Saccharomyces cerevisiae S288C: one gene and its partners. The gene in region 2 interacts genetically with the main gene of each other region. Each region holds a gene or a part of one and is shown on either strand. Other genes may lie near its edges.

The links.
Region 1: mutations in YBR196C-A (region 2) and MCP1 together harm fitness more than expected from each alone (negative genetic interaction), as found in Saccharomyces cerevisiae (one large-scale study listed by BioGRID).
Region 3: mutations in YBR196C-A (region 2) and ACA1 together harm fitness less than expected from each alone (positive genetic interaction), as found in Saccharomyces cerevisiae (one large-scale study listed by BioGRID).

The regions. Positions count from the first base shown.
Region 1 is NC_001147.6:766,306-769,643, reverse strand, and holds MCP1 (Mcp1p), read left to right. Parts: upstream 1-1,866; coding exon 1,867-2,775; downstream 2,776-3,338. Other genes in the region: WTM2 (transcriptional modulator), read right to left, coding at 1-1,235; HER1 (Her1p), read right to left, coding at 3,079-3,338. UniProt on the Saccharomyces cerevisiae protein: Recruits the lipid transfer protein Vps13 to mitochondria thereby promoting vacuole-mitochondria contacts. Involved in mitochondrial lipid homeostasis.
Region 2 is NC_001134.8:613,433-615,917, forward strand, and holds YBR196C-A (uncharacterized protein), read right to left. Parts: upstream 742-2,485; coding exon 592-741; downstream 1-591. Other genes in the region: PGI1 (glucose-6-phosphate isomerase), read right to left, coding at 1-468; YBR196C-B (uncharacterized protein), read right to left, coding at 1,094-1,198; YBR197C (uncharacterized protein), read right to left, coding at 1,771-2,424.
Region 3 is NC_001137.3:239,415-243,063, forward strand, and holds ACA1 (Aca1p), read right to left. Parts: upstream 2,088-3,649; coding exon 618-2,087; downstream 1-617. Other genes in the region: MEI4 (Mei4p), read right to left, coding at 1-209, 298-360. UniProt on the Saccharomyces cerevisiae protein: Transcriptional activator of promoters containing ATF/CREB sites. Can independently stimulate transcription through ATF/CREB sites. Important for a variety of biological functions including growth on non-optimal carbon sources.

The DNA of each region.
Region 1 (3,338 bases), on a different chromosome or scaffold from region 2:
AAAAATTTTAAACATTGACCCTGAAGTTCCTCCGGAGCAGCCACTCGAACTTCGTCTTCGTTGTCATCGTCGTTTCTTGAAAAAGAGTACTCCATGTCCCAGTGGTAGACATTACCCGTTCCTCCAACCGTAACAAATTCTGTTGCAGAGGTTTGTGAGAACAGGATATCGACAACGGAATCGCCGCCAGAATGGAACAACTTGGCTATTTCGTTTTGGATCGGTTCCTCGCCGTTCTGCCTATGTGTGAGGTCAGTAGTAGCCAGTTGCACAGCACGCGCATCCCATAGCTTGATGACACCCGTGCTGAACCCAGTGACAAATAGGTTTTCAGTAACTTGAGAGGAATCGAAGGACGTTAGTCGTCCATTTTTCGGTTCGCTTAGCGTCCAAAGCGGTTTGTCCGCTGTTCTTGTGTCCCAGAATCTTAAAATGTTGTCATCTGAACAAGATGCAAATAAATGGTTGTTAAAAAATCTAACTGAGTGAGCCACGTTGGTCCCTGGAACGTGCACTGTACGTAATATATCTCCCGGTCTATCGGAGTTGTCGATGATTTTCAAGATGCTGTCCTCCTCGTAGCCGTTACTTTGTGACTTTACTACCGTATCCATATTTGTCGACACATCAAAATCTGACACTGCTAATGAACCTGGTCTGGTTAGAGAGTGAATACTAGAGTATCTAGTAGCAGGGCCCATCATTTCCTGTACGATATGAACGGGAACCTTGATCTCATCTCTGAACCATGCCAAAGAGCCGTTCTTGGACATCGCGATCGCCGTACTGTCGTCTGAGCTTTCCAAGTATTGCATTTTTGCCACTGTTTCGCCCTGGTAAATCCACTTTGGGCGCAATGGTTTCCCCTCAACATCTTGGAAAGCATCACCATACTCTGGATTTGGGGTGGCTGCAGACTTCGTCTTGCCGTTACCTTCTTCGTCGTCGTCGTCGTTGTCGTCGTCGTCGTCGTCGTCATAGAATGTCTTTAATGGTAAAGTAGTGTCTATTTCGTAAATATCACTACCTTGAGAATATAAAAGACTAGTCGTCAAGGTGCCCTTGGATTTGTCTGGAATAATCTCACTTCTCCATGTCAGTGTCTTGCTAAAATGTAAAACATCGTCGACTCTTGTGCTGAATTGTGGTTTAAAGCTAGAAATGTGTTGGTATAAAGAAGGTGCCGGTTTACGGCGTGCTCCACTCGCACCCTGACTGGATTTGCTTTTCGCCATCCTCTATCCTTTTTAGTTCTTGCTCCCGTCGCTACTAATTGCTCCTTGTCTTATAAGTAAATGTAGCTGTACAGCAGAGATGTTCCATACGTCAGCTAACTAATTGCCTTTAATCTTTTTTTTTTTTATTTTTTTTTTTTTTCAAAAACAATAGAATTGAAGATGTGAGATGGAAAGGGAAATCAAAGTGCCATAAATGGTAAAGGCTTGCATTATGACCCGAATGGGTAAGAATGATCCAATGAGAGTCTGCGGACGCATATGTGCGGAATATGACTTAGCAGTTCGAACCCCGAACGGGGCTAAAAAACCAAAAGGACAAACCTTATGCGGAACATCTACCATCTATTCAAGGGAGTATAGCTTCCGTGTAGACTATAGAAGAAGCGTTCCAGTCAATTCTACTACATCAGTCTTCCGACATCGCTGATTGTATCCTAACCAGGTCCACAACTAAAATTTGTTTTGAAAAGAGTGGCTAGAGAGCGAATACGTGCTCTGTAATTGTGTGAGGCAAGTTGGTCGTCAATTGGAAAATAAGTAAGGAAAACCTTGTGTAGATTGTATTGCTCCTAACAGGTCCCGAATTACTAGGGCATATACCAGTTAGCCCAGAGTTTTGTTTATTACGATGATAAAGTTGCATGAAGTGCCTCCAGAACCAGTAGACCCTGCTAGTCTCCCTCATGATGTTAATGCACATAGCCCCGAAGGAGATGGTAATCCTGATAAGAGGAAAAAAATATTTGGCATTCCGTATCCTTTTTCCAGGAGTTCATGTCGGAGATTCCTTTGGAACTGTCAAAAGATTTCGGTACTGCCCATGGCATTGTATTTCCCACTACATGCAGCAAATACATTAATCACGCCGGCAGTATCACCTGATTCTGCTCCTGACGACGTTTTAATGATGGTGAGAGAGATTTTACCGTCCATAACTACCAAGCTGTTAGTTGCGGGTATTACTCTTCATGTTTCTGCTGGTGTCTTGCTCCGAATCGTGAACAACTGGAACAAGCCAAGAAGAAATAGACATCGACATTTAAAGATATCGGCCGAACAAGATCTATCCCAAGATTCGATTGGTTTAACTGGTGGAATTTCTGGCTATTTATTTGGATTGTATAAGACCTTCCGCATTCCTCCACAAGTGATTAGTGGATACATCCTTGTTCCCGTCCTGATATACCACTTATTAATTATGAAATGGGTGCCGAATTCCATCTCTACTGAGGTGGATTTCGCCTCTATAAAGCAATTACTATCTAGCAAGAACAGGTGGTGGAAATGGCTTGGAGGCCTGGTGCCGTTAGCTATTCTCCTCGAGTCAGGTGTATATCATATAGGTTCGGGGCTCTGCCGTTATTTCGGTGTTAGAAAAATGACTAGCAGGAAAAAATGGTCCACAGCTATCAATCTATTAACACTCGTTGGGTTCGTTTCTCTGATTAGATTGATGAAAGAGGATTCTACGAAACTGGGTCCCAACCAATTCGAAAGCATTTTCAAAAAGATCCGGTTGCTGTTGCACGTGAATTAGGAATCCTTGTGGGAGTAGTGTGAAGCTATTAATTTGCGACAATTCTCGAACAGTTAATTATATTATTCTCAGTATTTATTTTAAATTTCTGTATTTTTATCTGATTAATAACATTAGTGTGCATAATGAAGGCAAAAAATTTCGGCAGAAAGTATATGATTATGAAAAAACGTAAAATACATATACACATAAAACGTACATACATATATAGATTCCTAAGAATACATTATTGATGGGATATTTATACAAAGATGCACCTTCTAATAATCGAAAGAGAAAGGAAAGACAGAAGCATAAAATAATTTAGGTTTTACTGTGACGAACATTAGACAGATCGTTCAATAGTTTGTCATATTTTTTTGTCACTGTTTCATCTTCAACAAGGGGCCTCTGCAAAGGCGCCTTTTGTTGTGATTCTTGTAAACTGTCATTACTCGGGCTTCTAGAGTTCAATTCATCTCCATATAATGATTCCAATCCAACCTTTTCAGAGGTAACATTTTTAATCAGATCATCTACAGAATCAATACCCTTAGCTTTAATAATGGCATCCCTTAATTCGG
Region 2 (2,485 bases):
CTTACCGGTATAACCCTTCCATTCACCAGAACGAACTTGTTCAGAGAACTCCTTCATGTGCTTCAAGACAGAGTCGACTTCTGGAGCAACGTTGACACCATCAACGTACATTGGCTTGTTAGCTCTGTTTCTCAATGCGACGTGGTAGACAGCACGATCTTCAGTGGAGTTGATGTGTTCACCTTTGAACATAGCATCTCTCAAACCGGTGACGTTAGCCTCCTTGGCCAGTTCAATCAATGCAGCAATGATTTCATCGTTGACCAAGTTCTTTGAGTAGTCGAACAAGATTTTGGAACCATCATAGTTGGTGAAAGTCTTGTTCAATTTTTCAAAACGCTTGGCATCTTTTTGGAATTCTTGCTTGACAGACAAAGTCTTACCTTGAGATTCATAAATTTTTTGCAACTTAGACCAGGCTGGCAATTCAGTGGCCAGTTTGAAGTTAGTGAATGAGTTATTGGACATTTTTAGGCTGGTATCTTGATTCTAAATCGATTTTGCAAGACTAGAGGAATATGTATTAAAATTCACTGAATGCAAGTAAAATATTAAGTAAAAGAAAGCATTGATTATGAAGAAAGGACCTTTTTAAGATATGAGAACAATGAGAAAAGGAAAAATGGGACGAAACAAATAGGGAAAATTCCGTCTGTAAAACCAATTGTAGTAACAAAAAACGCTCATTTCAATAGCAAAAAAATAGAATACCGTCAATGGATATATATAGACACGGGACATTATAACAACGTGCAGATGGTGATGATTGCAAACCCAAAAAATTACCAGCTTCCTGTAATTCCAGGTTGAGCGCGTGGCTTCCTATAATCCAATACACCCACACCCACCCAGATCGTGATTTTTGTTACCATCCCGGTTCTTGCCTCATTGACATATTTTTCTGACGGTGACAGAACGTGGCCTTGTACACTCTTTTTTAATGTTACGCTGGCACAACATAGTTCAACGAAAAACGAATTAAGTTCTTACTTCCGTGTTTTAATCAGAAAACGATATTCCAATGAGAGATATAAGCGTAAGGTAGCATGTCCGATGGCAAAATTCTCTTTGCTTCCGCAGCGGGGCCAAAGTCTTACTCGCCTCTAACCCCACGTAGGACAAGTGCTGAGAATAAAATAGTCTTGGCGTAGTATGCCTTCTTCAGTAATATTTTTTCTTTTGAAAGTACTACCCACATCCGAACATTGCCACTTACATAGCGATGCAAATAGCCGCCAGGAAATGCCGCATGTTATCCACTAAGAATAGTCAACATTGCATAGCATCCAAATACGTGAAAGCGGACCGATCTTGAGCGAAATGTTTAGTACCGTTGATGTGTAGAAGTAGTGCCCTGAAATACATAGCGGTGTATTATTTAGCATTAACATACAAAAAAAAAATAACGGAGGCACCAATGGAAGTGGTGTCGCTACATTAGTTTTTAACTCAGTCAGAAAACTGAATTTAGTTGATATGGGACCGCTCCAAGGTAGGAGAATACTAGATCAAGTAAAGCAACCGCACTAGTGCCTTTTTCAAACAAGGTGGTTTGATGAGGAGGCTTTCTACAATCCTAGAAATATAAGACATCTGTCAGATTAGCCGCCGTTCATATGGTTTCAAAAGGTTGCGAATGGAGACAAACGTTCCTCGTCCCAAATTAGCCAGACGGAACAGGACAATAAAGGTGATAATGTAATCCATGACTTCCTCTATTTTAGACGGGACTTTTAGCATCCTCTAAATATTTTCAACCCATACATGTCATCAGCATCGGTGAACATCTTTAATAGTATCGACAACTTGGCTCACGTACTTCTCACCGTCAAGTGCGATTTCCGGGTCATGCAATACCTCGTCTGGTTCTTGATCTTTATTCGTGGCAGAATTATGCTGATCCTTATGAGGAGGGCTCCTCAGCTTGGCATACTTTAGTCGCTGATTTCTTTCCCTCATTAATCGCAGTAGTTGAGCGTGCGACTTGCGCATTTGCGTGAGATTGCTCTCAAAATCTCGTGGGAACCCGTCGTTGACGATAGGTTCTTTCGCCATCTTCTTCACATCATCCAGTGTATCGATTTCAGACCATGATACGTCTTGCGTCTCCGTAGGTGCCAGGTTTGAGTGCATTGTTATACGGCTACCATTTACGCTTCTTTCGTATGCAGTATTACCCCTACTAATGCTGGTCGTTAAGGGGTTTAGTGCTGGAGGCGTGGTTAGGTTTTTGGTCGGAAGTGCGTTGGAACTGCCCATTATAGAGGCAGTGGAATCTGAAGATCCCTTTCTTTTATCTTTGTCGCTCTTTGCCTTTAATTGAACCAGCTGAGGGTTTCCTTCCTGGCTACTAGATTTCCTTCTGTTGGTGGAATCCGCGTCGCTTACTTTCACCTGGACTGGTGGGGTTTGCTTCACTCCCATTATTTGTCTTCGTTCGTGCCAGCAACATACATTTCATCTTATTTCTCTGGAAGGTTTTTAC
Region 3 (3,649 bases), on a different chromosome or scaffold from region 2:
GGTTCCAGATGAGCAAACAGTGATTTATTATTCAAAAATCCATTTTCGAAAGGCGCAACCCATTTGTATATATGTTTTGAGTTTTCCCGAGGATTTATTTTTAAATTTTTTTCACTCTTGAGAGCACCTACATCTTCGACATCTCCTTTCTTTCTTGAAAGTGCCCTCTTCCACAACGTAGGATTCCTGGATTGAATTAAAGCAAAACACTGTCATAGATAATATTCGAGGAGATTACACCTCTTACTAAAAGTTAGTAAAGAGAAAATAGGTTAAGGATGTGACAATTTCACGTACGATTATCCAGTCAACTTCCGATGTTTCCTTTTGTTCCATATCTTCCAGTTTGCCTCTACTCATGTCCTTACTCTTCTAAAAGATTATTTAATGAAACTGTTTCACAACTACAAGATGTTTGTTATGTTTTCTTTTACAAGTCGGAAACATTTAGCCGCCCAGCAATATATATGACTCCGAAAGAAAATGAAAGGAAATACATACATAGTAAAATAAATCGTTTAAACATAAATAATCGTACAGAGGAAAACATTAAGGAAGGAGAGTCAAACTAATGTACTGGGAATTTGGATCTCCCATAAGAAGTATGCGCAATACTTTTATTCATCATATAGACTGGAGCTGCGTATCATTTCTTCAATCATTTTCAGAAACCCGTTAACATCACTATCCTTGTTTTGAAGGCTTTGATAACTATTATTACCACCATTAATTGTGCATTCTTGCATGTGCAACCTCGAAATTTTCTTCATTTTTTGAACCAATTTTTCGTAATTTTCAATTTTTTTCTTCATCATTGTGTTTTCTTTGCTTATTTGGTCAAATTCCCTTTGAAGTTGTAATTGTGACATTTTCTTTCTCTGTCGACACTTGGAAGCGGCAATTCTGTTTCGTTCTAGTAGCCTTGCACGCTTCCAAGCTTTAGCACCGTCTTTCAAGCCTGCAGTATTGTTCTCTATTTTTTGGGGTCTAGCTTCCTGCTTTATTTGGAAGGTTGCTGTAGTGTGCATAGAGGAGAAGGGCGCGGTATGTACGTCTTTCTCACTATTAATATTGTTTTTCAGTGCAGAAGTGGCATCCTTGTATTGTGGTTTTGAGTTGGCATGTGTTAAATTGACATCAGGGCATTTCGATTCGTATGGAAGGCTGCTTGAAATATTCAACTCGGCATTTTGGCAGGAATTATTAACAGTGTGGTGATTAACGCCATGGGAAATTGAAGAATGGACGGATTGATTTTCGATATTATGATCATTAATGTTTTGGCAGGAAGAAGAAGAGGAAACGGAAGAATTAGAGGCTGGAGTACATGGATGCACATTCAATTGAGCGTTTTTCCATGCCTTAGTTTGCATTTGAGCTTGTAATCGGAGTTGCATGTTGATGTAAGCCTGATTCATTGTGGAATCGCCAGATGGGATAGAAGGCGTGGCAGAAGGAATGTCACAAGTGGCTGCTACTGCGGGTATGTTAAGCTTTATATTGCTATCATACGGGGTCATTGCAGCGTAGATATTCTTGCTACCTGTTTGAGGTGCAGCTTCGGGTATGACTGTAGCTTGTTCGTGTGGTTGTGGCACGTTTTGCAATTCGTTCGAGCTAAAGCTTGGGTATATGGCTGCGCTTGGATTTGCCACCTGTTGAGGATTGGGATTCTGTTGCGCCTTAGACGATAGGATCGGAGGCTGACAGTTGTAAAGATTTTCAACCGTTTCTAAGTCTTCGCCTAATTGACTAATCTGACCATTGGAGATAGATATGCGTCTTTTGTACACGGGCTGATCAAACGCTGGTAAAGAACTTTGAAAAATGGGAGGGTTGGTAATGGGAAGATGGCTGATGTCGACGCCAAAGGGTTGAAACATTGGACCCAGGTTTTCTTGCACGCTACGGTCATGCAAACTGTTTTGGTGATGAAAATTGTAGGCAGAATCCACAAGACCAGGACCCGATGGTTGTTTGTATATAAGCTCCTTGTTTGAAGATAGAAAATCTGTATATAAGAGTGGGTTCTGCCTTCCATCTAGGAAAGAATCTGGACTTGTAGCAAAATTATGCTTATAGTCCATACTTTATTTGGTTCCTTAGTCGTTACCTGGTGTTATTCCAGTACTATTAATATAACTCAGTACAATTAGCTGCCGTGAAAAAAAAAAAATAATAAGAATACAGTTTCTGCGCTTTTAGTCGGTAAGCACTCAGATTGAGAGATCTAGATTTACTATATTTTAATAATAACCAGTTAAAGCAGATTTTGAAGATGAACTAACATAAAAAAAATTGATGAATTATGTAACATAATCTTCTGTACCACCAGGGTAAATCGCCAAAGAATATCTGCATCTAAGAACAAAAGAAAATGGTGCCCTAAATATCTTTCAGATGAAAAACTAATTATATATCACTACTAAAAAAAGCCAGAAAAAGAAAAAAAGTAAAATAGAAAATAGAAAATAGAAAATAGAAAAATAGAAATTAAAATTAAGAGCATTTTAAAATTAAGTCTACAAAGTAATACTTGGCATATTGCTTAACTCCTCACGCAGAGCCTTAGCGTACCACTATTTTATCTGATACCACAAAAAGCTGCGCTTTGATGGCCCAACGGGGATATAATCGCGCCACTGCTACTCATGTGCTGCAAACTAACAGTGCCAGCAGAAGCGAGCATTGAAAAACTAAACTTTGCCTTGTTCTGCTTACTTCATGCAGAGGTACAGCTTCGATGTCCTAAGGTTGAACATCATCTTGCTTCGATTTCGGTAGTAATCATTTTGCCTGCACGCCATTGTATGAATCTCGTGCCACTCCCTTTTTAACTCCGAGATACAACTTTCCGTGGGGAAAAGTACCGTAGTATTGTAATTTCGAGAGCATCTTTACGGTAATTGCCCCTCCACACCCAGACGTTACACAACCCTTAGTAAACAGCTGCGGAAAAAAAGTGTGCCTACGCACTGTACGACTCCTGATTGATTCCTTCATTAGCACTGACTGGCTTACGGTGCACATAAGTTATTAAGAGCAGTTTAATTCAGTTGCTGAATAGTCACGTTGATGAGCACGAATACCTGAAACACCAACGGTAATGAATCAATTGGCCTAGCGCATCGTTGTGTGCTTGGGTGTGCCGCACAATGGCAACCAAATACTGCTCGTTCCTGCACTTCGAAAGAAAAGCAGCCAAAAGAAAACGCGTTTTCCTTTGCGAGCGCTGGTTTGTTCCTCAGTTTGATAGAGGCGTTCAATTGGCAATTTGGGCACTAACACCGATGATAACAAGATATCTTGACTTTGACCTCTGATATTGAGGCGTTCCAACCAATAAGAGGGGCTGACGGTTGAAAATAAGGGTAAAAGAGAGCTATTCGGGTTGGGTCGCAGATTAACTTAGAAAACATGTACATGCAAATGTTGTTTTTTACGTACAGAAAGAGGCTGATGGAACCAAAGGAAGCAATAATTTGCACCTTGATATTTTGCGCTTTCTGCTTTTGAAACCTTATTATATGCCTTTACATATACTGTCACGCGACATTTTCACCTTCTACAGTGTTTAATGAAAATCTGGCTTGTGTGCATTATCTTTTTTGTGAAAGTTTATCTCCGCTTAAACAAAGCGATTGAATCT